Astyanax mexicanus: one gene and its partners. The protein of the gene in region 3 purifies or fractionates together with the protein of the main gene of each other region. This does not show direct contact. Links are inferred from orthologs where the notes say so. Each region holds a gene or a part of one and is shown on either strand. Other genes may lie near its edges.

Region 1 (7,682 bases), on a different chromosome or scaffold from region 3:
CCTGGGGACAAAACTCCATATTGTCTTCCATATATATATGGAATAAAAAAGGATGTGTGATACTTGAGTCTCAATTGACCGTACAACCGGTGTTTTGTCTATCTTTTACCTATATTGCCTGTTGAAAAAATACTCATCTGTCCTGAGGCCTCACTTGCTTAAATTTTTTTTCTTCCTCACAGTAATAAATCTAAGATAAACTGTGTTGTTGATATTTTTTTGATAATCTCTAATGTCACATCTTATCATTGCATACCATCTCAACAATGTGCCATAATCAGGGCCTGCAGGATCCCAGAGCTCACAACACCTTTTAAAGAGTACTAATTCCTCTCAGCTCTGCACTGTTATTCATGATGTAACACGGCGTATTTGTTTAATTAGCAAGCGAATGCTGTTATCTTTTTGGCCCATGTACTTTGTTGAAGAATGGCACTCCAGGGCAAAATATTCCCTTAAGCTTACACATTTGTGTTTGCCCTACTTATCGCTAACTCCCATTAATGCTTAATAGCCAGGGATTCTTTTTTTAGAATATCACACTCCAAATCTCACAGTATAAATTAATTGCTTGTTTCGGACTTTCGGCGCAAATTTAGGCAAGACGCGGCACAGGCCTTTGCCAGTATGGCTCAAAGTTATGCCTAGGCCCTTTTTTCCAAGATAAGAATTTATACAAAGCAGATTTGTTGTGAATATGGCAGTAAATAATTGGGAATATTTTATCTTGGTGTTGTTTATTGAAGATTTTTACATTTTGGCTCTTCTTGTTATCCTTCTGCTGCCAGTCATTTTTTCAATGCCAGTATTCATTTCCATACAACTGAAACATGATAATGAATATATGATAACTTGATAACTGATGGTTAATATATTTAGCCTCTATTTTCTGCACTGTGCATCTATTTAAGCTGATTTGTGGAGGAAGTGTAAATGAATGCCACACAAGTACTTAGCTCATGTAAACAGTTTGTGCATGCTTGAATGAGGGTTTCATTTAGGTTCATTACTGACTGATAAGTCCAACGTTTGTCTAGACATGCAGCCAGCTGATATGACACTGCAGGGTCTGCACTCAGAGCCCCTCCCCGCCTGCAGTCAGATCCAACTGGGGAAGGCACACCGCAATGGCCGACGTCCAGATGGCAGCCAAGTGATTGGCGATGGGGGTTGTTTTGAACCCAGTTACGATCACCAAAAATAGGGACGGCAGATAAAAGTGCCGACAGTCCACGGCCTGCACCGGCTGATTACAACCAACCAGGCAATGCCGCTCGTGTTTGTGTTGCTTTGCTAAGGGTGCACAGTCCATGGACAGGCAAATATAGGCTTTAGCAATATGTAAAGGACTCTGCTTCCTGCTGATGACCCCAGTGCTCCCCCGGACCCCTGCAGCCCGAGTCGATAGCCTATGTTTTTTAAGCACAAGGGTTTTTAGGTAGCTAGAAGAAGTGGATGGGGCCACTGCTCAGTATCCAAAGCCTGTATCCAAGGCCTAGGAGGCCCAGGCGGACATCAAACAATAGGCAGTCGTCAATCTCTGTCACCGTAGATGGGTGAACGGGAGTTAGAGGTTGCAGGAGGTCAGGCTCTTTGTCCTGTCCTGATGAATATATGCATAAGGCACTGCAGCCATGACTTTAGGAGATGTGCTGGTCGATATATTGTCGAGCAGTATATTCTGTGATACTAATTCCGTTTTAAAAACATTTTTAGCTAAATATATTATTGATAGATAATGAGAATCTATATTTATATAATGTAATGGCTGTAAAATAGCAACATCTATCTGGTTGTCTTTCAATGTGTGTAATTTACGTTAAGTATAATATATTATACTACATTTTTACATGACCATTATGCAACATTATTTTAGCTCTTACTTAAATTTAAACAGTCTGCTTTTGTAACTGTGCCTCTAAAACTGAGAGTTTTGAGTTCTGAGTGTCTGCCCTGTATTGCATCTCATTCAGAAAGCAATGTGGGCTGAACTACCCCCTATAACTTGAGTCTGAATAGGCGGGGCTAAGCTGCCATATGTGAATTAATTAAAGGGAAGACTATACTGTGCAAATGTATTGTTTTTGTGACATCACAAAACAATCAATTCAAAGTTACTTTTACAGCTTAGTTTTTATATATAGACAGCACTGGAACTACATAAAATTACTAAGCAGTAATAAGCCTAAGCAATTATTTTTCTCTGTCATTAAAGTACTGTTTTTATATAGGTCATATTAAACCAAATGTGCTTAATCAATCACATTGTTTTTTCTTTGTAGGTCTATCTTTAAGTCTACCGATAGATATGAATATTTTCAGACATTCTAGGTCACTGAAATGCCTGGCAGTATTGAATAAAGGCTACTAGACTCTATTTTTTTCCTGATTACAGGGAAGAAATATCCAGGTCTCATGATTTACTATTATTGCCCATCTACCATCAGACATAATGTTTCATATTTTCATCTAAAAAGCAGCTGAGCCATCCTCTTCCTTGTCTTGCAGTTTTTACAATCCTCAGTCTGATTTTAACCCTGTCTGTGGCTTCACTGGTTGTATCAAACCCTATTTACTTCAGATCAATGACTGTAAAAAGATATAAGCTATATACAGTCTATGCTTCATATGATCACATTCAATTCTATTTAATTAATCATTTAACTTTTACTCACTGTCAAACATAACTTTAAAAAGTATAAAAGCCTTCGATGCACACTGTGATGACGGTCGATGAGACTTTTTTGAAATGTCTTGACATATATAGTCACTATTTCTGTTTCACTGAGTCTAATAAGACTCTCCTCTCTCCTCACTCTTATGCAACTTATGCAAGAGGTTACCCCTGAGTAAATGATGTGTTGTTGATTTTCTAAGTGAAAATAAGTTATACTATTATTTCACAAAATATACACTATACCTACACTGACATGCCAAAAGTCATGGGATATCAGTATGCAAACTGAGCATGTTACCTTGGGGGCTTGGGAACACTCACACCTGTATAAGTTGTGAGGTGTTATCTTGTAAGTGTATTTGAACACTTGTCACTACTCTTCTGGGACAGTGATGTGACTTATCGAAGTTTGAGTTTCCAGCAGAAGATTTGTTTAATTATTTACACTAAATAAGCAAAGGTGCCATTTTTTTCAGGAGTACCTTAAACCTTTGTTTTAGACTGTAAAGACAGTCGGAGAGTATACAAAATATGTACCTATTTCTTGCAAGTAAATACCTTAATATTTTGAGAGTGTATTAAAATTACATTTTTACTTATCTATTAGCAAATCCTGAAATCAGATTTTTTTTTTTAATTCCAGAATTTGCAAAAAGTGTACTAAAATATTGACCTGTTTCTAATAGGAAAAAATTGTTATTTCAATCATTAAAGTATAGGGTTAATGATGACAGGATTGTGGGTTTGATACCCTGGTTTGACACACTGCCATTGTTGGATGTCTGAGTAAGGCCAATGGCTGCCCACTGCTCCGGGCATGTGTGTGTGTGTGTGTGTTCACTATATGGGTGGGTTAGAGGCAGAGGCCAAATTCCATCTGTGTCCAACACAAATGTGAATATGGTGCTTCTTAAATAAATAAAAAAATAAAATAATTGTTAAAAAAATCTGAATTAGTTTAATAATTTAGATTCTTCTAAGTACCACATTTATCTTTGAGGACAGCTCTGCACACTCTTGGTATTTTAATCTCAGTGTCTTCATGAGGTAGAGGCACCTGGAATAGTTTTCTCAGCGTCTTGAAGGAAGGAGTTCCTGGAGGTGCTGAACAAAAGCTGCTGCTTTTCCTTCAAGCTGTGAAGCTCCAGCTCATCCCAAACCACCTCAAATCACCATCTCAGTTGATCAGGTTTAGATCAGAGGATTGTGGAGGACAAACGCTTTTTATTTACTGTTTACTACATAATTCCATATGTGTCCCTTTTAATAGTTATTTATGTCTTTAATATTAATGAAATATGTAGAAAATAAATGAAATAAAGAAATAGAGAAAAACACTGAATGAGAAGGTGTGTCCAGGCTTTTGATTGGTGCTGAATATCACCAGAGTATTGTGTATACATGACTTCAACACTCCTCCATACCTGTGTGTATCACCTGTTAAAGTGTTAAAGCAGTTGTAGCGGGTGTATAGAGAGTGTAGATCAGGGGGAGTAGGAGGAGAAATGCTGTGAATCTGTCTGTCTTTCTGTCTGTCTGTCGGTCTACTGTGAGTTTTTTTTTTTCCTGGGTCTGGGCGGGGAGTGGCGGCTCCAGCCTATCACAGGCTTCTCTCTCTCTCTCCCCCCTTGCTCTCTCTCTCTACATACACACCGTACACACACACACACACACACGCCTAGCTAGCTAGCTGGAGAGAAGTTGTATGTGTATGTGTGTGTGTGTGTGAGTGTGCGCGTGTGTGTGACAAGCAGGCAGTGTAGAATAAGTCTGATCCGAGGATGGATGCAATACCGCGCTGTCTGCTGTTTCTGGTCCTGCTGTTCGGGACGCGGATCGGCGGGTCTGAAGGTAAGGCGCCGCCGGGCTGTGGTTCGCCCCAACTCCGTTATTTCAGCCTCTGCTCCGTGAAGTTTTGCTGTCTGAGAGTCCGCTGTTTTTCCTCTTTGTTTCAAGGAGCTACGGCCCCAAAGACTCTTTTCAAAGATGGCGCAGGTCAGAGAGAGAGCTGAGCTTTCGGAGGAATGTTTTCTTTCTTTCTTTGTGTTTTCTTTTTGAGAAGAGAGAGAAAAAACCGAGGGGAAGAGATAACTAAACACAGGACAGATAACCTAACGTAGCTCGTTAGCTAAATAAAAAGAGCGAAGGCGACCTGGCTTGTGTTGTTGTGAAGAATCAACAGCGCTTCGCTAACTACAACAATAACAAACACAGTCCTCTAGCAGTCTAGCTTAGTTAACTAACAGCTTACTAGCGTATGTTAGTTAACTATTTAGGTTACGTAGTTCGTTAAGGAGTTTGGTCTGAATTTAATGCTCCCCACGATACTAGCTAACTACAAAAGTTGGCAACTCTTCATAGTAGAGGTTTATAAGTTAACGTTAAATGGATTGATGAACTGGCTCTGAACACAGCAATTACATGCTTTAAGAATAGAATACAAACAAGATAACCTAGCTGTACATATTGGCAACACTTTACAATAAGTGTAGTTAATTAACCTAATTAACTAACTAGCTAACCTTGCTAGTTAACTAGTAAAGTAACCTAATGTGACCTATTGTTGATTACTAAATTGTAATGTTTGACAATGTTGTAGATAGTAGCTAACAATGAATCGAGGCGTTATTTAAACATTCTGTCATGATAAATAATGTCTTTACTAGTGGCAGTTAATTAATAATCTAGTTAACGTTAGCTAAGTACTGTAAATTAATGTGTTAATAAGCTAATTAACGCTAGCTAGCTACAGTTATAACAATGTAGGTTAGTTAGCTAACCTACATCAATTAACAGTACTAACTAGTTAAGTAACCTAATGACTCAAAGTCTCAGTGTCTAATTTATTGTTGTTGGTACTAAATTTTAATGGTTGAGAACGTTGTAGTTAAACATTCTGCCATGACAAATAATGTCTTAATGTCCTAGTTTCAGTTAATAATTATCTAACTAGTTAGCTAACGTTAATAAACGTTAATAATCTAACGTTAATAAGCTACTCAATGGTAGCTAGCTAACGCTAATTAACCTAGTTACATTTATGACAATGTAGTTAGCTAGTAAGATTTCTAAAACAAACATTAGCTAACGTTACATGTGAAAACAAAACGTTGATTAAACCTATAATCTATGTACACTAAATAAACTAGCTAAATAAATCATATCTGACATTGATATAGTCTGATATATCAACGTTGTTTGAACGCTTTGAAAACGTTGATTCAACATAAGCCAGCTTGGTTAACTAAGTTAAATAGGGTTAAGTTTTTGTAAGTTAAGTAACCTAAAGTCTCAATGTCTAATTATTGTTGATTTATTAAATTGTAATGCCTGAGAATGGTGTATATAGCCTACAATGCATTAAGACATTAGTTAAACATTCTATCATGATACATAATGTCTTAACTAGTGTCAATTAAGAATTATCTAGTTAAGCTAGCTAAGTACTGCAAATTAATGTGCACACTTATTGTAGTTAAATTGTTAATGAGTTACCTAGGTTACACCTAGCTACATTTATAACAGGTTAATGTAGTTAGCTAAATAAAACAAGTTAAGCTTTCTAAAACAAACAATAACTAAGCTACATATGAAACCATAACGTTGAATCAATGTTGAACCAACCTAAAATCTATGTACACTCAATAAAATGGACAAATAGTATCTAAATCAACCCTGGCATTTACATCAACATTGTTTCAACGCATTAGAGATTGAAATATGTTGAAAACGTTGATTCAACATAAGCCAGCTAAATAACTAACCTACTTTTGCTCTGCTGGAAGAAATGTTGTGATTCCCAAGCCCCAGTGGTAACGTTAGGTTAGCTAGGTTTAGAGAGAGAGAGAGAAATACACCATTAAACGTGATTAAATGTGCTGACACATTATTACACAGCTGTAAACCTGTGCTGAAATGTTCTTGTATCCATCTAAACGCTTAAACTGAACTTTATTTAACGGTAAATGTGTTTAGATTGTGTTTTGACCACTATCACACATACACACACACACACACACACACTCGGCACAGAGAGCAGCAGCAGCCCGTCTCTCAGTAACAACTAGCTACACAGCCTCACTACTACAGCAGCTAACCTGGGTTGGCTAGCTCGCTGGCTAACGTTAACGTTAAACACACAGATAAACCGATACTGATGGTGTTCAGCCTGAACCGTGAGCTTTTCCAGCCAGCTAGAATAGAGACTGTCGTTGGCTAGACGTCTTGAGTGAGATGTAACATTAGCGTAACGTTTTTTTAGATGATAGCAAATTGATTAAGCCGTCTACTAGCTACGCTAGCTAACTAGCTAGCCAACCTACCGGGCTAGCCACAGTTCTTCTGTTCAGTCAGCCTAACTGCCTCTGTTAATGTTGTGTTTATGTCAAAAATAAGTTTATTTCAGCTACCTGTTATTTGTTTAGCCTTCATTTAGGAGCTTAAGAGTAACTTAAGAGTGCAGAACTGTTTAAGGACTGAAACTGCCCAAATAACGTTACATCCGCTCCCCCCCGTCCGTTTACCTGGATAAGCTGGATAAATAAATAACTTTATTAACTAATCACTTCATCAAACACGAACTGTAGTAAACGAATGTACAGAAATGACAAGTAAATGATAAGTTTCTTTGATTTTACCAAATTGAAAAACTCTGAACTATAATCAAGATGATGATGAATAATCACAAGCAATCAAACAAAGCTGAACTGTTAATTTTTTTTTGCACCGGAGTGGCATAAAGTTATACAAAAGCAGTGTGTACGACTGGTGGAGGAGAACATGCCAGGAATCATAAAAACTGTGATTAAAAACCAGGGTTATTTCACCAAAGCATATTGCTTAAAATACATTTAATGTAAATACAGTAAAAAAGTATATTTGATGTGTATTTTAATTTAGTATATTAAACAGAAAATGCACTTTTAGTATTCTTTACCTAATTTAACATGCTTTTAATGCTCTCATGTTTACCTTTTTCATGTGTAGTGTGTTATTGTGCAAAGTG
Region 2 (8,183 bases), on a different chromosome or scaffold from region 3:
CACTGAGATAAAGGAATGCTCTAAATACTTTTTAATTTAGTTTTTTTACCTACTGTTTTTATTGTCTCTCTGATGGGCCCAGAAAGTCCTGGCTGTAGAATCATTAATTTGTGTAGCTTAACACTGTAAGATAACATTACTGTACATTCAAATTTGGAGTGTATTATTAGTATCATGACGTTTTGGATCACTGACATTGACATTCTGTTACAAATCTGATAAAATTCTTTATTTTTTTAATATAATCAGTTAGGGGTGTACCATGTCATATCGTATGCAATAATAAAATTAAAATTTCATTTTGTTGCAGTAGAGTATTCTTGGTTTTTTTTTTAATTCAGTGTTTGTTATATTGCCAAGAGTATCGTGAAAAAATACCACAAAAATTGTGATATTATTTTAGGGCCATATTGCCCACTCCTACTCTATAGTAAATTAAAACTTTATTGTTTTATATTATACAGTCTCCTGACAGTAAAATAAGCCACAAATATCAATAAAATTCGAGTCATGCAAAAACAAAAAAAAAGAAGTAAATAACAATAATATTTATTAATACAAATACTGTGATATCCTGTGAAACCCTCAGAATTTTTAAATATACTCTGATATATATTTCTGGTCATACTGCCCAGCACTACATAATAGATGTTGTTCATGTGTTTGAATTATTGTCCAGCACTGTAATGAGCTATCCCTTGTGTTAGGATCAGATTTCTCCTTTGAGATGTGTCCCTCTGAAAGTCAGATATAACAAGAGCTCAGCATCCATAAACATCACTGTGAGCCCTGTGACACAAGACAGGATCACATTTAATCATCTGTAATATGCTTCAAATGATGTTTAGATATAGGATAATCTAAGAACATTACATAATACCAGGATTGTGCAGGGAAGCGCTTTCCAGGCCTCCAGCAACATGCAACCTCTCATGCTGGCCATTTTGCAGCTGTTGCCACGTTTTTTGTAGCACAGTGCTCACAAACAGGGTTGTACCTCAGGGATATTTCATCATCCGTGGATTTACAAGTGAAATAGAGGACTAAATATGAACTATGAGGGCTGTGATGGTCATTATGTAATGGTATTACGGTTGGGCTCTCCAGCTTGCATCGCCAGAAGCATGTGTGCTTTGAGACGACGGATTGCACGGCATTGCGTCTACAGGACTACACACACACACACACACACACACACACACAGACACAGACAAACACAGACATTTTCACACACACACAGCACAGCAAAACTGAGAGAGGAAGGACACTGTTGAACGTGGGAAAAAAACAACACAGGACATTTCACAATTTCTTAACTGCCTTTTTGCCCTTTTTTAGAGTCATCTGTTAGCTGGCTAAGCTGACACTCTGCCTATTTAACTAACTATCCATAATTATCATGATTTGCCAACCAGACTGTTAGTTATCTATCTATCTAACTAGCTTAGCTAACTAGCTGTTATAGCATTGACATTAAATAGCTAACTTAGATTAGCAAGCTAAAACAGCAAGGCTAGCAAAAAACACTATCAAAACGAGTGTATTTTACCTTAAAGTGTGTCTTATTTATCATATTTGCCTGGTTAAAAAATAAACAGTCAAGCCTTTTATTCTTATTCTAATTGTCCTTTCCACCTTAAATAGAGCAGCAGTTACCGTTTACCAGTTACCATTACTACAGTTACTGCTGTGCCATTTAAGGTGGAACGTGTAAAAATTCCTGTAAAAAGATAAACTACTGAAAAGATGATTCCAGCTGTTCTTTAGCTAGCTAACCTAGCTAGCTAATGCTGCATTAGCTAACTGTAAACCTAAACTACACTAAAACAGCAAACTTGGCACAAACCAATTAAACAGTGAACTATTTTTAAATGTTGCAGCTTATAAGACTAGATAAAGCTTGTTTGCTTAGCTATAAATGTGAAAATCAAGCGGTTTTAGATTAAAGTTAAGCTTCTTTAGAAATAGAATGTTCAGTTCCACCTTAAATTGTGCAGCTTTTAAACTACCTTTACTGTGTAAAAGGGAGGAAATCATAGGGAATTATACCACAGTCATTTCCAACTCTGCTATGTGATTGGCTGAGAGGCATTCTATGAGTGCCGTTATCAGCCGGTAATATAAGCACTGTGTAACTTAATGTGTAAGTTAATATTGGTACTGTTGTGCTGATCTACGGCCGCAGCACAGCAGTGCCAAAATTACATTATAGCACTTCCTCTTGTGTACTATTGCTTAATTCATCATCTCACACGATATGATAATATCACAATACTTTGCCCACGATAATGATGATATAACAATACTTGATATTCTACAAAACAACTCTCTTTAATACTTTATAGCATTTGTCTAGCTAATTAAAGAGGATTCAATACTTTCAAATAAGCAAATAACAGGAATTGTGTTTTTGTGTGTGTCAGGTTACACAGTAACCTAAATAGCTCAGCTTTCTGTTGTAAAATAAAATTAGAACGGTTCTGCGCCTGTTAAAATGTCTCTACTCTAAAATCTTTTCAAACTGTGTACAGCTTACAGAAAAATATAGATAACAAAAATTAAAACAAAAATACACTAATGCAAAAAAGTATCAAATATCCCTATCGCCAAATAATATAATATGATATATCGCCATATCGATATTTTGTCACACCCCTGTTACTACTAGCTACTGTTACTGCTGCGCCATTTAAGGTGGAACGGAAAAGATCAAATCGAGTAGCTAAAAGCCTGATGAAATTATGGGACGTGCGCAGGGGATTCCGTCCATTCTCTGCCCAGTAAATACGATTTATTTCGCTACAAATCGCCAGAAAACGCCGACTAACCGTGAAAGCCCTCGGACACACAGACCAGCAACCAACCAAATCCAAACCCAGCACCAAACCCAACACCGTTAACCGTCCGTTAGTTATCTATTTATCTATCTATTTACTCACCCGCTGCTGATGTTGTGTTGTTCTCCGCCTCGCGTCGAGCCCGCGTTTTGCCTCGTCAGTCCCCGTGTGCTGTTAAAATCTGGAGTCGTGCTGCTGAATCATCGCCCGCTACGGAGATCTGGACAGCGCGTCGTCGTGTGCTTCGCATCGCCACGGCAGAGGCATCGCTCACGGAGCTGCGGCGTGAACGGACGTTAGTCCGGCAGTACGGAGCATCACCTCGCTCCGGAGAGTCGTCACGCCCATCGCTACCTCGCGTTTCCCCTCGTTAAAAAAAAAGAAAAGAGAGGAAGAAGACGAAAGAAGAAGAAGAAAAAAAAAACAGTCCAGGGAAGGTTTTCGCCCTCGCCCACGTCGTTCTCTTTTCGCTCGCGGAGGAGAGACCACGACTCTTGCGTAAAGCCTCCCCCCCTCCCCCCCTCCCGCCTTCAGAGAAAGGGAGAGCGCGAGGACGGCAACGCCTACCTGCTGCTGCCCACGCCTGCTGATGCTGCTGGAGATACACTGATTATACACTATCCCCACCCGTGCTCGGGAGAGCCACGCCCCCCTCCCACAGGATTGGCCAGCAGTCAGTGCGAGTTTAATTCTAAATCAAGGGTGTTCCTTAATATCAATTCATATCAAATTAAATCAAATAAATATACAGTGGTGTATTTGCCTCCTTGCAGATTTCTTTTTGCATTTTCAGAATTCAGATTATCAAACAAACTATAACAAGACAACAATAGTAAATAAAAAAGCAGCTTTTAAAATGATGATTTAATTTATGTAAAAACTGTGATTAACTGCATTTTTGTTAAACTGAGATTAATTTCACTAGCCACAACCAGGTCTGATTACTGCCAGACCTGTAAAATCAAGAAACCTCCTAAAAAGAACCTCTCTGACAACACGAAGCAGCTAAAAGATCTAAAAAATAAAATAACACACTATACCTCGATATGAAAAAAAAGGAAAAATTGGAGCAAACAGAGCTATTGTTTTGTGAGAATTTACAGTCTGTGAGAATTTACATCTTCTCCCCCACCATAATCCTCAGCACATTGACATGATGGTACCCAAAAACATAAGCATCCACTCACTCCACTGTCAACTAACCTGAATGATCATGTGCAGCAAGAGGCAAGACAGCACCAGCATTTTAGTTCACCACAATTCCTTATGTCCATGAACCCCTGTATCTGCAGCCTTAGCCTTTATCTAAGAAAAATAATTAGCTAATTACCAAAAGCTAAACTTAACTATTAGATTTTTAGCCTAGTCCCCAACATTAAGAATTTTCCTTATTCTCAAATATCTTCAGGTAGGTTATTCCAGAGTTGGGGGCTTTTAAAGACAATAATGTGGTTCGTAATACCAAGTTACTTTGCAAGAACAAACTCACAAGAACACAATGACTGAGGACTGTGCTGTGTACTTACTATTGTGCAATACAATGAGCCCAGCTGACTACATCACACATAGCATCAGAGATGAGCAACAGAAATGATACAAATGGAAACTAAAAACAGTGTGCGCAATACACACCAGCAGAAAAGTGTTGCTAAATTTCCCTCTAGAGTGTAAAAAAGACAAAGAGCCATGTTGGCTTCTCTTCTCACGGGAAAAAAGTATTAAGTACCTTTTAGGCTGCACATTCTTGTGATGAATTCAGATCTTGTGTCCTATAGATCAAGGCATTCTGAGAATGTATCTATTGTTGGACTTCTGCCTTCCCAAAATAAAAGTGTGCTGCTATAGAAGTGCCACCTCTACTAGAGAATGTCCCGAAGGGTGCCCTTAGATGAAGTAGATACAATGGAACGTAGTGCTGGGTTCTGCTACAGGCAAGAAAACATATCCAAGAGCCCTAGTGGTGTCCTTAGGATGTTTGAGGGACAACCATGCAGCCTGAGGCCACCACTGGCCATACAAATGATCCGCTTTTCAGGTTAGTCACTGCTACCTAGTTAAGCTATGGCTGCCATAGGAGCGTATTTGAGTCTTGAGAAACAACATAATGAACAATCACTGTTTGTATCAAATAAACTAAGATTTTTAAACAAATGTAAATATGATAACTTAGGGCGTTTTCACACCAGCACTAGACTTTGGTCCAGTTAAAACCAACTCTGGTCCGTTTTTTAACTTTAGTGCGGTTCGATTGTGCAGGTGTGAAAAAAGTAATCACACTCCGAGACCTGCTAGAGGAAATTGTCTCAGTTCATTCCCAAATTAACTCTGAAGCGGTTCACTTATGGTGAGAACTTGATCCCGTCTCGATCCGACCCAACTATCAAATCAAGACTCCTTTCATTTGAGCTAAACTGCTGATAAGGCTTACTACAGCTATGAACAAGCACTGTCTCTGCTCCGTGCCGTGTACATGCACGTTCTGTGCTGTGGCCACTTCTGTCAGACTAGCAACTAGCAAGTTTATTATGTGTACAATTGTGCTGCGCGTCCTATTAAAAACACTGTTTGAAAGGGCAGCGTTTCAGCCTGTGTGAAATCAAACCAAACAGAGGGAGAAACCTCTCCAAGTAAACAAACTCATCAACTGATTCAGACCATAAAAAACAACTACATGCAGGGCTGAAAACACCCTTAACTACAATTGTTTGACCAGGGTCTGATCAGTGTATTCTGCCATTGCTTCAGTGCTGAATTTACAATGAATGTTAAAAGTTCACCACTAATGGATCTACAGTTTTTGGGGAGGAACAAAAAAATATCTGGGAACTTTAGTGCTCCATTTCCTGGACAGGAATTCAGTCTATAGCTGTAGCCTATATTTTCATTTCAATGGAAATTCTAAGACTAGGCTTAATCACTGTCTAAGAAACTGACCTTAAATATTCTTGGTAAATGCGTCCAGTATTTGTGTTTTGAAATTTAAACCTCAGACAGCAAAAGATGACGTTAGGCAAGAATGCCTTGCTCTACATGTGTGCCAACATGTGTATTGTAAGCAAACCACATGAGTGGATGTAAGCAAGTTTGCTCTATGAGAAAAAAAGAGTTTTCCTTGAGTTTCATAGTCAATCAAAAATTCTATTCAAGGTTCTTCATTTGAAAGAAAAAAAAATCCGAAAGTGACATTTGCAGATTCAACTGCAGTCAGTTTTCTTGATTCCAAAACTCACAAGCCACAAGACTCAAGCTCATTTCACACATTCACGTTAAACTGATATTTGCTGGTAACTGAAACAGGAAGGGGTTAAGTGTGACTGCAAGTGTTGGGTAATTTACCACAGCATGACTAAGATAAAACACGAAGTCATTTAAAAACTCCCAGTCTTGATGAATAACCATGACCATGAGACACCTATTTAGGATTTAAATAAGATTAAGATTTACTTGACCTACAGTACCACTGAAAAGTCTGGGCATATATTCTCATGCAATGCTTTTATTTTTTTTCCTACATTGTACATTAATACTGAAGGCATATGAAGAAAATGAAGGAACACATAAAGAAAAATGTAGTAACTTATAAACAAACCACCATTTAGGTGAATCTTATCTGGGGTGATGTTAAAGTGTGGTTTCTGAGGCTGGTAATTCTTTTCAACAGAGGTAAGTCTTGGTTTTCATTTCCTAGGGCAGTCCTGATGAGAGCCAGTTTCATCATAACATTTTTGATGGTCTTTGCAACTGCACTTGATGATATTTTCAAAGTGACTGACCTCTTAAAGTATTTTCTTTAATTAATTGAGTTGTTTTTGCCATAATATGGATTAGAATATTACTCAAATAGAGCTATTCACTGTATACCCACTCTACCTCTTCACAACTTTACAACTAATGCTCTCAAGCTCATTAAGAGGACAAGAAATTCAAGTAGTTAACTCCTAAGTTCAGCAGAGCTGTTAACCCTTGTGTGGTGTTCATATTTTTGTTACTCGTTTACTTTGTTACTTGTATTTAATTCAGCAAAATTAAGCAATTTTACATTAAAATGCTTTACACATGCTTGCTTCACCTAAATTGCAAGCAAAATAAACAGCTTACATGGTTAATATTTGCCCTTTACCTTTCTTATGTTACATTTCTTTTAAAAAGTGCTACTCTTTTTTTATTATTTTTTTAATAAAATGTAAAAGAAAATGAATTAAACTCAAGATATGAGTAGAAAATTTGTTTAGTTTCAAATTTACAAATGAAGCAATGTTTATTAGCCCTTGTCCAAACATACTGTATGTAATATAAATGGTTGGGGGGGTGTACAGTATGTGCTTATCGAAAATGTGTTTTGATATATGTTTTTCACAAAAAATGAGCCAATGCCAATGAGTTTGAGTTAGAAAAAATATTTTTTTTGTATCATTTGGTGAAAAATGGAAACGTCCCACAGACCCGAACATCACACAAGGGTTAACTGAAAGCTGAACATTCCAGGTGTGCAATACTGTCATTTAAGCAAGCAAGCACTTTGAATAATCTAAAATCTAAAGTTATGGTTCATGGTTTATATGGTTTGTTTAACGCATTTTTGTTTACTAAATAATTTCATATGTTTTTGAATATGTTTAACTGAGTTTATATATCAGGGTTCATATGCTACAACATTACACCATTTATGAGTATGATCAGTAATTGATTAACTTAGATCACATCAAAATGTTCTACAAGAGGGCATCAATCAGCATCTTGAAATAGGATATCAACCAATGACAATATTTATCCAAATATAATGGATTACACATATTAAGGTAGTACAAACTGATTATGTTTATTTCTTTATGTCTAAAGGTCTAATCATTACAGAGCTTCAAAGCATCGACTCAACCTGGAACTTTAATATTCATGAGGATAATTTCCTTTTGTTTGATTGTATATTGAAGCTACTGGATCTTAAAAACAACATTTAAACTTATATTTTCACAATTATGGGTCTTCATGTACCCAGACTGTGTTCATTATCCCAGACTACAATCAGGTCACTTTCCTGGAACTATCCATGGTGCTGAACTTCAACACCTCTTGTTATCCAGGGCGCAATAAAAAAAAAAAAAAACTCTTAGCATTAAGAGCATCTTAACATGTTCAGCGTGTTTTTTTGAAAATGGAGTCCAGGTTAGGCTTGTTAGCCCCTTAAACAGAGATTTTTCAGAGGCACACTTTAAACTGAGGGTTATGAGAATAACTGGTAAGACGGCAGAATGAGTAACATAAAAATAAAATAAAATAAAAGCTAATCAATGCTAATTTCAGCTCCCCATCACAGAGGAATTAAGTAATGGACAATAATAATTCATT
Region 3 (7,778 bases):
CAAACAAAGTGATGCAGAATTGCTTAAACTGAGGCACTTACAGGATTGTCACAGGAGCCATACAGCTTCACAATGTTGGGATGATTTACTCGAGACAACTGACGAAGCTGGAGATGAAAAAGAAAGAGTTACACTGTGAATCAGAGTCAGTTCCTGTTGTCTACCTGCACAGAGTAGAGTTGTGCTGCAGCTGAGTCACACTATTGGCTAAGAATCAAGCCCTTCTTAAGTCAAATTGAGAAAACCATCAACCTGCTGTGTAGGTGGACAACTGGGCACAGTGCTTGGCAGATGTCTAGCCTTCTACACAAGTTGGACTAACTGATCATCAATCTCTAATGATTAAGCCTAACCTACAAAGAGCATGGGTGTAACTAGTTCAAACTAGTTCTAAAATGAAAGTAAAAGGTTCAAAATTGTTAAAACTGTATTTTAAGAATAAAAATGCAGCAGTCTCTACTCACTACACAAAAAGTATAGTTCACTTTTTCTCTGTCCTCCTGTGTGCTAAGCCTGCTCACACTCACCATCAAGCATCACTCTTTATGCTGTCACTGTCTGGCACTTTTAATTTATTAGGTTAAGCTGCAGCCTACCAATCAGCCATTGTTTAAATTCGAGTGAGAGAATGAACACAATTTTATCTTCTTATCTTCTAAAAAACTGTTTAAAGAGAAAGTAAAAATGAAAGGACTGGGTTGATTTGATCCTGGAATCGCCCCTGGGTGTAGGACTGTTTGTGTGATGAATTAAGTAAAACTTGATTTCACTGTACCTCCACTATAAAGGCAGTTCTTTCAGATTCACTCTCTATGGTCTTGATAGCCACATCTTTGCCCTTCCATTTGGCCTTGCAGACGACACCAAACGCTCCTCTGCCCACCACCTGAAAATGAGACATTTGCTTCGTATGAAGGATCCATGTAGGTTTACTGGGCAATCTTAGCTAGCAATGTGAGGTTTAACATCTGTACATAGACGCTGAAAACCTGTGTGTTTGGTATATTATTTCTTTGTTGTAACAATGTTTATTGGCAATAGATCTTATACAAAGAAAACCCAGTTAATTCTTACTGTAAATAAAGCAACATTTGTAATTGTGAGATGCGCAGCAGAGCTTAGTATGTGGCTTGTGCCCATAATGTTTTCTTGAAATGCTCTCTGCTTAAGAGCAAATTTACCTTCATGTGATGCCCCCTTCACAGCCTCTAACATTCACCGTTATATGTAACCTGGCCTTCAATTTGAAGATACTTTTACAAGGGTTCCACAACTAGGTTTTGGAACAACTAGGAACAACAGCTTGAAGCTGCCCTATGTAGACTATCCAGCTCATTCAAACATGGCATGCCAATTCTTTGCTGTGGGTAAACAACTGGATGTGGCATTTTAATGCCCTTCAAATGTCCAGAACATTGTCCTTTACATGTGGAAATAGGTTAACTGTTGTGTTTGTGCACTTTTGGAGATGCAGGTTGAGTTGATTTTGACCCCTCTCCCGTTGTGCTTCTGTCCCCAGTACTTTGTGTAGTGGACAAATTGATGATTAGTCGACAACGACTATTCTGATTCAACTTCTCGATTATATTGACTAATCATTGCATGCCTACTCACAGGTGCTGCCAATCAGGTGCCAATCATGTGGGGGTACTAGAAGCTCAAAACAAATTTCCATAGCAACAGCATAAGCTAAGAAGATTTGGCAAAGTTTTCATGGGCACAAACCAAAAACTCAGGTTTAATCTGCTCATCCATTAAAAGCATGTTCATTAGGTACACATGTGAAATCATTTAAAAGGGAAATTAATTGACAAGAATCACTGTTAAAGAAATAATCTACCAAACACAAATGCCCTTAGCAAATTTGCGTGCTATGTTTAAATAAGGTATAAATCAGCATGTGTACTGTAACGTTAAAGTAAAAACTGCACTGAAAGTTTATCTAGTGAAAAGTCTTGCTTAAGATTTTTCTGTGAAAAATATCTAATTAAAATAAAACCGGTTTTTAGGTAGAGTAGCTAGATAACGTAAGCTAACCTAGCCTAACCTTAGCCAGGTGTACTGCTGAGGTGTGTGCTAGAAACAGCTGAACAACTGTGACAAACCGGCGTGTTTTACTGAATTCTGCACATGAATATGAAACCCCACTCACTAATTATCTTTAATAAAGCTAAAGAGAGATACAGGGACAGGTTTAGTTACCTCTTCCACTTCGATATCAGCATAATCTATCTCCTCAAACGGATATCCAGGTGGTGTCTCAAGCATCTCGGCGGAGGGGACAGACATTGCTAGCCAGCTAACCGGCTAACAGCGACCATTAAAAACACAAAACCGAACAAAGAATGGCGATTCTGGAGCCTAAACACATTCAGCGGTTACAGTGAAGGACCTCTGCTATTCAACCACAAGCAGAGGGACTGGTTCTCCTAACGAGCCCCGCATTACACCGCGAGCTTCACAGGAATTTCACCACTTTAAAAACTTCTAGCTCCCAGACCAGCAGCCCCAAAACGATAGCTAAGCTAAGCTAGCGCTAACCCGTCTATCTGAATGCAACACTGGCCCGAGAGAAGCGGGACAGGCGGCTTTTAAACAAACCCGAGTCTGAAGGACAGGGTCGGCAGTACATAGCGTTATCTAGCTAAACTTCTCCTCCTAAATTCAGCGGAGTCTGAAGGTTAGCTCAGAAAACAACACAACACAAAAAACGAGCTCAAACTGGCAACAACAAAACTCAAGACTGCGATCCGCAGCTGAACTAGCGCTTGCTAAGCTAGTTCAGCTAGGCTAGGCTAAGCTAAGCTAAGCTAAGCCGCGCTCCGCCGGGCCGCACAGGGGAGGGAGGAGCAGCTCTCGGCCGCGCAGCGCTCACTCCACACCGGCGCCCAGGCTCCTCACCACCGCCTCCAAACCTCTTAACATTTCAGGGCGATTTAGACCACCTTAAGTGTCCGTTTCACGCGACCAAGGCCTTCGGCCCATTACAGAAGCGGTGGAGAACTTTTAGCGTGTCTCCTCCATGGAGCGCGTGTGTTGTTATTATTATTTTATGTGTATTTTTCTTTTCCTCCGGCGCAGTACAGACTGACTGACTGCTGTACTTCCAGGAAGTTGAGCTCCTCTGAATCCTGCCCTCTCCAGTCAGCCCGCGGTATGGAGCCTCAACCTGCTCCAACACCCAGCTCTCAGAACTACAGCTCTGGAAAAAAATAAGAGACCACTTAAATGTGAAGAGTTCCTTTAATTCACCAAATGGAAAACCTCTGGAATATAATCAAGAGGAAGAATTTTGTTTTGAATTGCTTGAATTGTTGCACCAGGAGTGGCATAAAGTTATCCAAAAGCAGTGTGTAAGACTGGTGGAGGAGAACATGCCAAGATGCATGAAAACTGTGATTAAAAACCAGGGTTATTCCACCAAATATTGATTTCTGAACTTTATATAAGGTCTAAGCTCTGCATCTTTATGTTATTAAGACATTTCTCATTTTCTGCAAATGAATGCTTTAAATGACAATATTTGTATTATAAATTTGGGAGAAATGTTGTCTGTAGTTTATAGAATAAAACAACAATGTTAATTTTACTCAAACATATACCTATAAATAGCAAAATCAGAGAAACTGGTCTCTTAATTTTTTCCAGAGCTGTAATTCTTTAGGTCTGGAGCTGATCTCTACATATACAACCATATGAACTGACATAAAAGCATCTAGTGTTGATGTGAATAATGATATGAAGTGATGTTGATCTAGGTAACATAATACATAAATGCTACACCTAACATCTTGAGTCACACATAGAGCCTATTCCCATTTCCTATACTCTGCTGTCCTGCTCACACACCTACACCAGACTGGTAACTTCCTCCAATTTACAGCTAGGAGGTTGTGGATATTTATGATCTGATCAGCAACATTTAACCCAAACATAAAGATCCAACAACTAACAACAAAGTTTATGATATCATCAGCAACGTTTAATCCAAACATAAAGATCTGACACCTAACAGCTAAGTTTATTATCCAATCAGCAAAATATTACCCAAACACGATGATCTGACACCTAACAGCTAATTTTATCATGACCCAACTGACGAGGGAACGACCAAACAACAAATTTCTTTTTTTTGTTTTCACACCTAAAAGTCTTGACCAAGTTTCATATCTTTTTAAAATTGAATATATTTGGTCTGGTTTGCTCCTTGTACAGTTGCACCCCACAGAAAAATGAGTGTAAAAGATTATCCTCAAATTCCTTTATTTCTGTTTTATGACAAACAGTCAAATTAGTCTGAAAGTTGGAACCATTTACAAAAGTGTTTTCTCACTGCAGACCATGGAAGACCCAGACCATGGTTCAGTAGATCCGGACAGAGAGCACTTTTGGTTGGACCTACCTCTGGTTCTTCGTTTCATGCACCATGATTCATGGCCACTTTCACACCTGCTACTTTGGTTCAGACCATAGCAAAAATCTGAAAGTTCAGAACGAACAAGGCAGGTGTGAAAACACCCTTAATTCTTGCCGCTCTAAGGACGTCTGACACAACACCAACACATTACCACCAAGGCATTAAGGTATACGCTGGAAATTCTAGCTTGCATGATCTGTACACTACAGTTTGTGATACATTATGAGTGTTTGATAGTAAACTATCTAGGGAATAAAATGAGACTGTTGAGATTTATGAACAGCTTTAGAAAATGGCAGACACTATATAGTGCACTATTTCTGTAATAGAGAGCTATCCTGAATGCAGCTGTAGGTTCTAAAACAGGATAGGATGGCAAACTAGCTCCATTATGTTTGTATATCAGGGCTGCATGATATTCAAATAAAAACTTCTCATTCAATGTTTTTCTCATTTCTTTTTTTGTTAAATTTATTTTCTACACTGTAGATTAATATTAAACACACAAAAACAGTTAAGTAGCATATATGAAATTATGTAGTAAACAGAAAGTGTTTGGCCTTCACAATCCCCTGACCTAAACCCAACTGAGATGGTGATTTGAGGTGATTTGGGATGAGCTGGCGCTTTACAGCATAAAGGAAAAGCAGCAACTATTCAGCAACTGTTCTTTATCACCTCCAGGGACTCTGCATGTGTTCCTGTAGAGCTTTAATGTCTGTTTAATGTTACATTTAACAAGAAACGTTGTGTCCAAAGATTTGTCCGCAACATAAAAAACAGGCCTTTTCACAAGCTCATGTCCCACGAATGAGTGATCCAATATGATATTAATATTGTTCTCTGTGTATCCAAGATTGTAATACAATTAGTAATTTTGGACAGACATAATATGCCCTAGATAGACAGATTCTTCCAAAAAAGTTAATTAAATAGGAATGAAAGGAAATATTAATATAATTAAGTATTTCAATATTTTGTTTTGCAAAATCAAAAATCAAAAACACAGTATTCATTTTTAATTATTGGTTTATATGTAAAGATTGGTGGCAGACAATGGTTCATTTAGTGTTGTGTTTAAACCCCACCCACTAGAGAGGAGTGTTGTACTCAAACCTTAACCTAAACATTAAATCTACTCTAAAGCTAACTATAAAATGTTAAGAGTACAGTTCAGGTTAAAGAGTAAAGAGCATTCAGTTGCATTTAATAGACGTAGGGTCGGACACCCTGTGCAAAGTGCGTCTCGATGCTCATTGCTATTTTACACCCTATCAACAGTCTATTTTCACGCCTTGCACCCGCACCGTTAATAGTGTGGGAGTTTAGGAATAAATCTACACTGATGGGTGTGGTGGTCTGGAAGTGAGGTGTGTTGCTATTTTGGCGGTGGAAAACACAGGATCTCCACTGACTGAAATGATGCTGCATGTGCCCAGCAGCCGTACACCCCAGCTAATTCAGCACACACACATACACACACACACACACACACACAGAGCGCAAATCCATTTTTTAATAATAAACAAAATAAAGAATGAAAAAAACATTTCTGTTTTCTTAAATAAGCTGCTGCCGTTCCTTCATAGTGTGAATGCGCAGGTCAATCTCATCTGCTGAGAATCACAAAGTGCTGCCCTGTTAAGATACGAATGTGCCAAAGTCAAAGCACACCTGCCTCTTAAAGGGAATGAATGGCAACTAACACACTGATTGATTTATTTCACGTTAAGCCCAAAACACACTCATGATTAATTAAGAAAATTAATACCTGCGCGTTTTGAGCTGAGCAAAGGGGTGCTGTTTTCGCCCACACGATACCAAAGAACTGCCAACACGCCCTAAATCCAGTTGTGCAGATCCACAATTGACCGTTGCACTATAGATCGCTAAAATAGGGCCCATTGCGTTAAATATTATTTGAGCATCTATGAGGCATCTGTAATGACTCATCCAAATACAGTAAAGTGATAAGTATTGATTTTAGCATTCACAATATATTACATTACTTACAGTATTGTCATATATTTTAATATAATGGATTGTAACCCCTGTATCAATAAGTTTATGCCAATACACTGCCTTAGTATTAAAAATGAGTCTGTCCCCTCTTTGTTGCAGGACTTGTGTCTGCTCTTTCGGGAAGGTTTTGTACTAGATGTTGGAACATTGCTGCAAGATTTTGATTGCATTCATCCTGAAAGCGAGAGCATTAGTGAAATCAGACACTCACTGGATGATTAGTTCTGGTGCGGCAACTCATCTCAAAGGTAGAAAAAAACAAAATAAAACAAAAAAATTAATTCCATGTTGCAGTAAACTTTCAGAATACTTTTACAGCTTATTTTGTGTGCAGAGCTAACTAGGCTTTGGTTGACTGCATGCAGCCTTTTTGAAGTTTTTGTGTGTTAATAAATTTGACAGCTCTGTATAATATTAGAGCTTAGTGTCCAACCTCACACACTGGACTACACTGGACTACCCGTTTACCCTTTGGTCTGTTTGCTGTGTTTGTTTATGTACTGTGTTTGGTTTGAAGCAGTGTGACCTTGTGCACTGTGACCAGAGGTGATGGGAAAATGATCAACAAAATTGCATTTGCTGAGTAACCTGAACACATGACTTCAGCGTTCTAAAAATAAACTCAGGATTTCAACCATCATTTGGTGACAGCTGAATATGATCCCTATTAATCACCACTGCTGGAAAAAACTCAAACAGCAGTTGTTCATATTCAGACAAGGGTGTCTGTCCTCCCCGTGCATTGTGCAGGCCCTGACTGTGGAATTCAACAAGTTTCTCCATAATTCAACAGTGTTATTTGAAGTGAGTTTGGTGTGAATTGATTAATTGAGGAGAGACGCACATTATTTAATTTGTTTATTAATAGTGGTGGTAAAAGGAACTAGAATTTACAATAAGTATAATATAAACATAAGCACCTCATGCACTATTCAAAATGACCAGTTTAGATATAATTTATAAAGATAATATAATGCAGACTCATCACCTTATAACATCCTGCTAATACTTCCCTGCCAAAACTGCATAAAGAATACAGCAAAAAAAAAACAACCTAATAATAATAATAATAACAATAAATAAAAAGAAAAACTCACAACTACTGTAAATACAAATACAATCACTGCACTGTTAAAATGGAATTTACATTTTAAAGCAAAGTTATTTTAGTTGCCAGAAAAAGTATTTTTAAATATATTTTACTGTAATTTTACAGGACTAAAAGTTATAAACCAATCTTAAAATTCTGTAAAATATACAATGTGATCTTGTCAGGATACAGAACACTGAAATAAAATTAAGATAATTTAATGGCAACTAAAATATACAGTTTAGCTTT
Region 4 (7,749 bases), on a different chromosome or scaffold from region 3:
TCCCGTGTACACGGTCTTCTGCACCACCTGGCCCAGGGTTTTGTGGTAGCACAGGTAAACCTCTCCAAAGCCTCCATAGTCCAGCCGCTTCTTCCTGATCAAGTCCGAGGACTTCATGTAAATGTCCAAGCTCGATCCTGTAGCCATGCTGTGGCTGTTTAAGATAAGATTACAAGATAAAAATGTATTATCGTCCTGAAACTGTTCAAAATATTAAACTAATGCACATATTCTTTTTTTATAGTGTTCATATTCTGTATCTATCTATAACACTAGCCCACCTGAGGAGTTGTGTAACCTGACACCACTGAGGAAGTGATTTACACTGCTAACACACACAGCACAAAGACCCTCTAAACCAACTTTAGGAGTGTCCTAACACTTCCGACACAAACAAATCTCCACCAAAAGCCTTCTAAACCAACTTTAGTAATATACTAACACTTCTGACACAGACAAACCTCCACAAAACACCAACAGTATAAACCAAACGCCTTCTAAACCAACTTTAGTAATATACTAACACTTCTGACACAATCAATACTCCACCAAACACCGACTAACACATATCCAACAACCAGGACCAGTATCACACGACCAAGCCTCCACAAAACACCTACTAACACAAGCCACAACAACTAAGGACTCTTTAACCAACACAAACACCTTCGGAACCAACTTCAGACATGTCCTAACATTTCTGACAAGACCTTACTTCCACCAAACACTTATTACCACAGCCTAATGCCTAAAACCAACACGTAACACCTACTGAACCAATTTTAGCTATGTCCTAAGACTTCTGACACTGCAAACAACTCCACCTAACACCAACTAACACATCCTCCAACACCTAAACACAACAGCAAAACTTGAACTGAATCGACTTTAGAAATGTCCTAAAACTTTTGACACTGCCAAAACCTCTATCAAACACCTAAATTCAACACCAAAACCATCTGAACCAACTTTAGGAATGTCCTTACACTTCTGACACTGAACAAACCTTCAAAACACAAAACACAAACATGAACAATATCTGAACACTTCTTGACACAATCAAACCTCCACCAAACACCTACTAACACAAACCAAACACCTTCGTAATCAACTTAATATTAATATCCTAACACCTTTGACACAACCAAACCTCCACAAAACACTTACTAACACACACTCAACAACCAGCACCTGTACTAAGACCCTCTAAATTACGTTTATTAACATCTTAACACTTCTGACACAACCAAACCTTCACAAAACACCAACTAGCACACATCCCAACACCTAAAACCAGCATCACAACCTTCTGAACCAACTTAATAGTAATATCCTAACACTTCTGACACAACCAACCTCCACAAAACACCTACTAACACAAACCAAACGCTTTAACCAACTTAATTGTAATATCCTAACACTTTTGACACATCCAAACCTTCACAAAACACCAACATACACACACCCATCAACCAGCACCAGTACCAAAACCATCTAAATTACCGTTATTAATATCCTAACACTTCTGACACAGCCAAACCTCCACAAAATACCAACAGTATAAACCAAACGCCTTCTAAACCAACTTTAGCAATGTAGCAAAGCAACTTTTACTATTTCTGACAAAAAACTCCACCAAACCTCTATCAAACACCAGCTAACACCTTGCCCCTGGAACCAACACCAGCTACACCACATTTAGTAATATCCTAACACTTCTGACAGAAACCAACCTCCACCAAACACCTACTAACCAAACGTCTTCTGAAGCAACTTTAGTAATATTCTAACACAACCAAACCTTCACAAAACACCAACTAACACACATCCTGACACCTAAAACCAACCTCAACAGCCTCTGAACCTACTTTAGGAATATCCTAACACTTCTGACATGAACAAACCTCCACAAAACACCAACTAACACATCCAACAACCAGCACTAATACTAAGACCCTCTAAATCACCTTTACTAACATTCTAACACTTCTGACACACCCAAACCTTCCCAAAACACCAACTAGCACACATCCCAACACCTAAAACAAGCATCGCAACCTTCTGAACCAACCTAATAGTAATATACTAACACTTTTGACACATCCAAACCTCCACCAAACACCAGCAACACAAACCATACACCTTCTAAACCAACTTGCAATGTAGCAAAGCAACTTTTACTACTGACACAAAAAACCTCCACCAAACCTCTATCAAACACTTGCTAACACCTTGCTCCTAGAACCAACACCAGCTAAACCAAAATTAGTAATATCCTAAAACTTTTGACACAACCAAACCTCACCATCACACACTTAACAACCAGCCACAGTACTAAGACCCTCTAAATTACGTTTACTAACATCCTAACACTTCTGACACAACCAACCCTTCACAAAACACCAACCAACACAAACCAAATGCCTTCTAAACCAACTTTAGTAACATCCTAACACTTCTGACACAACCAAACCTTCACAAAACACCAACCAACACAAACCAAATGCCTTCTAAACCAACTTTAGTAACATCCTAACACTTCTGACACAACCAAACCTTCACAAAACACCAACCAACACAAACCAAATGCCTTCTAAACCAACTTTAGTAACATCCTAACACTTCTGACACAACCAAACCTTCCCAAAACACCAACTAGCACACATCCCAACACCTAAAACCAGCATCACAACCTTCTGAACCAACTTAATAGTAATATCCTAACACTTTTGACACAACCAAACCTCCACAAAACACCTAAAATCAACACCAAAACAACTTAAGAAACACGTTTTACTAACACAGCACAACCACAACCAGCACCAGCCCCAGTACCACTCTAAAACACTTCCAGTAATGTCCTAACACGTCTGACACTGCCAAACCTCCACCACACATCTCCTAACACACCCAGTATCTACAATCTACAGATGAATCAGTGTTACTGTGTACAGAGAGCAGTAAGTTACCGGGCTGAAGATCTGAATGTAGCTGTGGATCTTCAGTAACTCCAGCTGAAGCTCATGTTCTCCTGCTGCTGCTCCTCCGGCCGGGTGTTCAGTAGTAAAATCTCGGTATATAATCAGCATAAAGTGTAAAATAATAATAATAATAATAATCAGACTGTGTGTTTCACTCACCCTGATCTACATTCCTCTGAGTTCCTGAGGAAGCTGTGTGTGTGTGTGTGTTCCGGGTTCACACACACACACACTGCAGAACTGAAAGTAAGAAAAACCCCCTTCAGACCAAACTAATCACCACCAGAGACCAGACTAGTGCTTCACACACTCACACACCTACAGTACAATAATAATAATAATAATAATAATAATAATAATAATAATAATAATAATAATAATAATAATAATAATAATAATAATAACTAGAAAGGGAAACTTTGAGTTGGCTTGGAAAAATGCCAAAAAGTCCAAAAATTATTTTGCTGAAATTGTGGAATTCTAATAATTTTGTCGGATATATTAGTTTCCAAAAACATTAGTTAAAAGCTAAAGTCCAAAAACGTTTGACTAAACTTTGGCTAATTAAGCAGTGTCCAAAAACAGTAAGCTAAACTTTGGCTAATAGAGCAGTGTCAAAAACATTTGGCTAAATGCTAAAGTCCAAAAAACCTTTGACTAAATGCTAAAGTCCAAAAACCTTTGGCTGAATTCTAAAGTCCAAAATCCTTCGGCTAAATGCTAAAGTCCAAAAACCTTTGGCTAAATGCTAAAGTCCAAAAACCTCTGGCTGAATTCTAAAGTCCAAAATCCTTTGGCTAAATGCTAAAGTCCAAAAATCTTTGGCTAAATGCTAAAGTCTAAAATCCTTTGGCTAAATGCTAAAGTCCAAAAACCTTTGGCTAAATGCTAAAGTCCAAAAACCTTTGGCTAAATGCTAAAGTCCAAAAACATTTGGCTGAATTCTAAAGTCCAAAATCCTTTGGCTAAATGCTAAAGTCCAAAAATCTTTGGCTAAATGCTAAAGTCTAAAAACCTTTGGCTAAATGCTAAAGTCTAAAAACCTTTGGCTAAATGCTAAAGTCTAAAAACCTTTGGCTAAATGCTAAAGTCCAAAAACCTTTGGCTAAATGCTAAAGTCCAAAAACCTTTGGCTAAATGCTAAAGTCCAAAAACATTTGGCTAAATGCTAAAGTCCAAAAACCTTTGGCTAAATGCTAAAGTCCAAAAAACCTTTGGCTAAATGCTAAAGTCCAAAAAACCTTTGGCTAAATGCTAAAGTCCAAAAACCTTTGGCTAAATGCTAAAGTCCAAAAACCTTTGGCTAAATGCTAAAGTCCAAAAAACCTTTGGCTAAATGCTAAAGTCCAAAAACCTTTGGCTAAATGCTAAAGTCCAAAAACCTTTGGCTAAATGCTAAAGTCCAAAAACATTTGGCTAAATGCTAAAGTCCAAAAACCTTTGGCTAAATGCTAAAGTCCAAAAACCTTTGGCTAAATGCTAAAGTCAAAAAACCTTTGGCTAAATGCTAAAGTCCAAAAACCTTTGGCTAAATGCTAAAGTCCAAAAACCTTTGGCTAAATGCTAAAGTCCAAAAACCTTTGGCTAAATGCTAAAGTCCAAAAAACCTTTGGCTAAATGCTAAAGTCCAAAAACCTTTGGCTAAATGCTAAAGTCCAAAAACCTTTGGCTAAATGCTAAAGTCCAAAAACATTTGGCTAAATGCTAAAGTCCAAAAACCTTTGGCTAAATGCTAAAGTCCAAAAACCTTTGGCTAAATGCTAAAGTCCAAAAACCTTTGGCTAAATGCTAAAGTCCAAAAACATTTGGCTAAATGCTAAAGTCCAAAAACCTTTGGCTAAATGCTAAAGTCCAAAAACATTTGGCTAAATGCTAAAGTCCAAAAACCTTTGGCTAAATGCTAAAGTCCAAAAAACCTTTGGCTAAATGCTAAAGTCCAAAAACCTTTGGCTAAATGCTAAAGTCCAAAAACCTTTGGCTAAATGCTAAAGTCCAAAATCCTTTGGCTAAATGCTAAAGTCCAAAATCCTTTGGCTAAATGTTGGACAGGCAATACTTTTGGTTAGCTGTTAGTCCAACAATGTTTGGTTAAATGCTAAAGTCCAAAACCTTTGGCTGAAATGGTGGGGTGTTAATACTTATGTCTCATACAGAATATAGAATATATAGCAGTGTCCAAAAACGTTTGGCTATGTGCTAAACTATGGCTAAAAGAGCACTTTACCAAATCGAAAAACCTCTGGAATATAATCAAGAGGAAGATGGATGATGACAAGCCATCAAACCAAACTGAACTGATTGAATTTTTGCATCAGGAGTAGCATAAAGTTATCCAAAAGCAGTGTGTAAGACTGGTGGAAGAGAACATGCCAAATGCATGAAAAAAATAACAACAACTGTGATTAAAAACCAGGGTTATTCAACAAAAAAACTTTATGGATATGAACTTGTTTTTGTTTTTTTTGCATTATTATATTTGAGGTCTAAAAACTGTGCATCTTTTTTTTTTTGTTTTTTCAGACATTTCTCATTTTCTGCAAATAAATGGTCTAAATTACAATATTTTTATTTGGAATTTGGGAGAATTGTTGTCTGTAGACACTGAAGTGGTCTCTTATTTTTTCCAGAGCCGTATTTAAGCATTTGTACTTTATTACTTAAAACCTCTGCATTTTGAATTAGGATTGTTTCTGGCTGGTTATGCTCGACTGTGTGATAATCTATAATCTTAAACCATTTATTATTTTTTTTATAAATAGCCATTTTGTTTTATAACAACTGTCATATAGTTTGTGCGTCTCTTTAAAAATGCGTTTAGCCTAACAAGGTAACAAAACTACATATCCCACAATGCCTGAGCTGTACGCATGCGCAGTTGCGTTTTGGTGACAGCGCAAGGGCAACTCTAGTGTAATCAGACGCGGAGTAATCAAACTGCCCCAGTGTGAGCAGCGCAGAGGAGCGGAGCGGACATGGGGAACGGGATTAATAAGGTAAAACAGCGCTCTGACAGCGGTCAGCGCGCGCGCGCGCGCGTGTGTGTGTGTGTGTGTGTGTGTGTGTGTGTGTGTGTGTGTGTGTGTGTGTGTGTGTGTATAGGGGGTGAATCAGAGGAAAGTTATCAGTGTGTGAAGTGTGTTAGTGGATCAGAGTGAATGTAGGCAGGTTTACTGCTTTATTTCAGTGTTTTTCTCTGTATTAATGTGAATATTTATTATTTATTTATTTATTCTGTGTTTTTTTCTGATAAAACACCCACACTGGTGGTCCTGAGTGGGCAGAGGGGTCTCACTCACTCCCTGCCTTCACCCACCAGTACACTGAGAGAGAGAGAGAGAGAGAAAAGAGAGAGAGGGAGCATGATGTACTCACTACTCATATTAATGTCATCAGGATGAGTTTCAGTGTGCTCACACACCAGTTATGCTAGCATGCCAAAAGTCATGGGACAGCATTTAACCCTCTGTGGCATTGTATTGGTCTCAATGGACCTTGGCATGGTGTTGCCCGCTGAGACAAACACTGGCCAATGTGCTCATGGCAAGGCGACATGCATTATCAAAGTTCTAGTGAGGTCTGATATATATATTCAGAATATCTCATTTCTGTGTTCTGGAACTGGTTCTGTTCAAGATTATAAGAAACTTGTCAGTAACCCAGCCCACGTTTGCACCAGTTTTAGTAAAACTGTTTTAATGGATACGTCAGAGAATACGTAATCAGCAGAGGGAGTTGCACACAGTGGCTCTCGGTTTGCACTGAAGATCCTGCTATTCTTTGGTTCCAGAACAGAGCCTGATCCACATTGGTGGAAAAGGTCCAATAGTGGGTGTCAGATGGACGGGACGTTCCATTGCCAAAGTTTTGTGAACATACGTAGCTACTTTTGTCTAACAATATACAATATTACTCCAGAATTAATTGCTAAGTAGCATTCAAAATACAATGTATCATTTCAAATAGCAATTCGTTAAAATAGCAACTATTAAAATATATATATATATATATATATATATATATATATATATATATATATATATATATATATATATATATAAATCCTAAATAAATTAGATATAAATCCAGTGAAAAGGTCTGTTCATTTTAATGGGCTCCCTCTGCTGAGAAAAGCATAATGGACAACATAGATGTCATAAAAAAAGAAAATGTATGGCAAGTCGTTAATGTAACCAAAATACTGAAAACTGTATTTTATATTTTACATGATTGTAAAAAATCTTATGAACAGTTTGTAGCATTTACCTTAATACTGCCAAAGGAATTAGACTTTTCAGCTTTTCAGACAGGGCTTCCCCACTTGCATGCAGACTCTCATTCACTCTTGGCATAACGAGCAAGCTGATTGGCTCATTTTCTCGAGGGGTGGATTTTATTTTATGTAATGATCGTCACCATTGGCATTTGGCTTGAACAGTGTATACGGACTCAAATCACGTCCATATTTAATATAGGAGGCTCCACACACAAATCACAGATATCCATAGTGTTCATTAACTTCCATTGGACATGGAAGCTTAATTAAAGCAAATTAAAGCAAATTAAAGCAGCAGATTGCATGCGTTGGAAGGGGTGTCCACAAACATTTGGACAAATAGAGAGCGAGATACAGAGAGTACCACTGTAGTTCACAAATCTAAAAATACTCACCTGACACATACATATGTACACACACGTGCACACACACTTTAACACACACACACACACACATACATTCCAGGCCTGGCCTCCTTCTCTTTCCCACACAGCA

The links.
Region 1: the proteins of map3k7 (region 3) and tgfbr1b purify together in Homo sapiens (affinity purification with western blotting; 3 studies listed by BioGRID). This does not show direct contact. The link is inferred for Astyanax mexicanus from reciprocal best matches to the Homo sapiens genes MAP3K7 and TGFBR1.
Region 2: the proteins of map3k7 (region 3) and peli3 purify together in Homo sapiens (affinity purification with western blotting; 3 studies listed by BioGRID and IntAct, with this or other methods). This does not show direct contact. The link is inferred for Astyanax mexicanus from reciprocal best matches to the Homo sapiens genes MAP3K7 and PELI3.
Region 4: the proteins of map3k7 (region 3) and ripk1l purify together in Homo sapiens (affinity purification with western blotting; 5 studies listed by BioGRID, with this or other methods). This does not show direct contact. The link is inferred for Astyanax mexicanus from reciprocal best matches to the Homo sapiens genes MAP3K7 and RIPK1.

Annotation. Positions count from the first base shown.
Region 1 is NC_064413.1:43,271,617-43,279,298, forward strand, and holds the start of tgfbr1b (TGF-beta receptor type-1b), read left to right. Parts: upstream 1-4,329; 5' UTR 4,330-4,458; coding exon 4,459-4,528; intron 4,529-7,682. UniProt on the Homo sapiens protein: Transmembrane serine/threonine kinase forming with the TGF-beta type II serine/threonine kinase receptor, TGFBR2, the non-promiscuous receptor for the TGF-beta cytokines TGFB1, TGFB2 and TGFB3.
Region 2 is NC_064415.1:31,438,170-31,446,352, forward strand, and holds the start of peli3 (E3 ubiquitin-protein ligase pellino homolog 1), read right to left. Parts: upstream 3,356-8,183; 5' UTR 2,940-3,355; intron 1-2,939. UniProt on the Homo sapiens protein: E3 ubiquitin ligase catalyzing the covalent attachment of ubiquitin moieties onto substrate proteins. Involved in the TLR and IL-1 signaling pathways via interaction with the complex containing IRAK kinases and TRAF6.
Region 3 is NC_064408.1:47,758,471-47,766,248, forward strand, and holds the start of map3k7 (mitogen-activated protein kinase kinase kinase 7), read right to left. Parts: upstream 3,123-7,778; 5' UTR 2,290-3,122; coding exon 2,203-2,289; intron 887-2,202; coding exon 776-886; intron 108-775; coding exon 42-107; intron 1-41. UniProt on the Homo sapiens protein: Serine/threonine kinase which acts as an essential component of the MAP kinase signal transduction pathway. Plays an important role in the cascades of cellular responses evoked by changes in the environment.
Region 4 is NC_064415.1:8,725,742-8,733,490, forward strand, and holds the start of ripk1l (receptor-interacting serine/threonine-protein kinase 1), read right to left. Parts: upstream 3,209-7,749; 5' UTR 2,970-3,208; intron 2,450-2,969; exon of another isoform or gene 1,480-2,449; intron 1,192-1,479; exon of another isoform or gene 282-1,191; intron 155-281; 5' UTR 148-154; coding exon 1-147. Other genes in the region: dusp22b (dual specificity protein phosphatase 22-B), read left to right, coding at 5,954-5,974. UniProt on the Homo sapiens protein: Serine-threonine kinase which is a key regulator of TNF-mediated apoptosis, necroptosis and inflammatory pathways.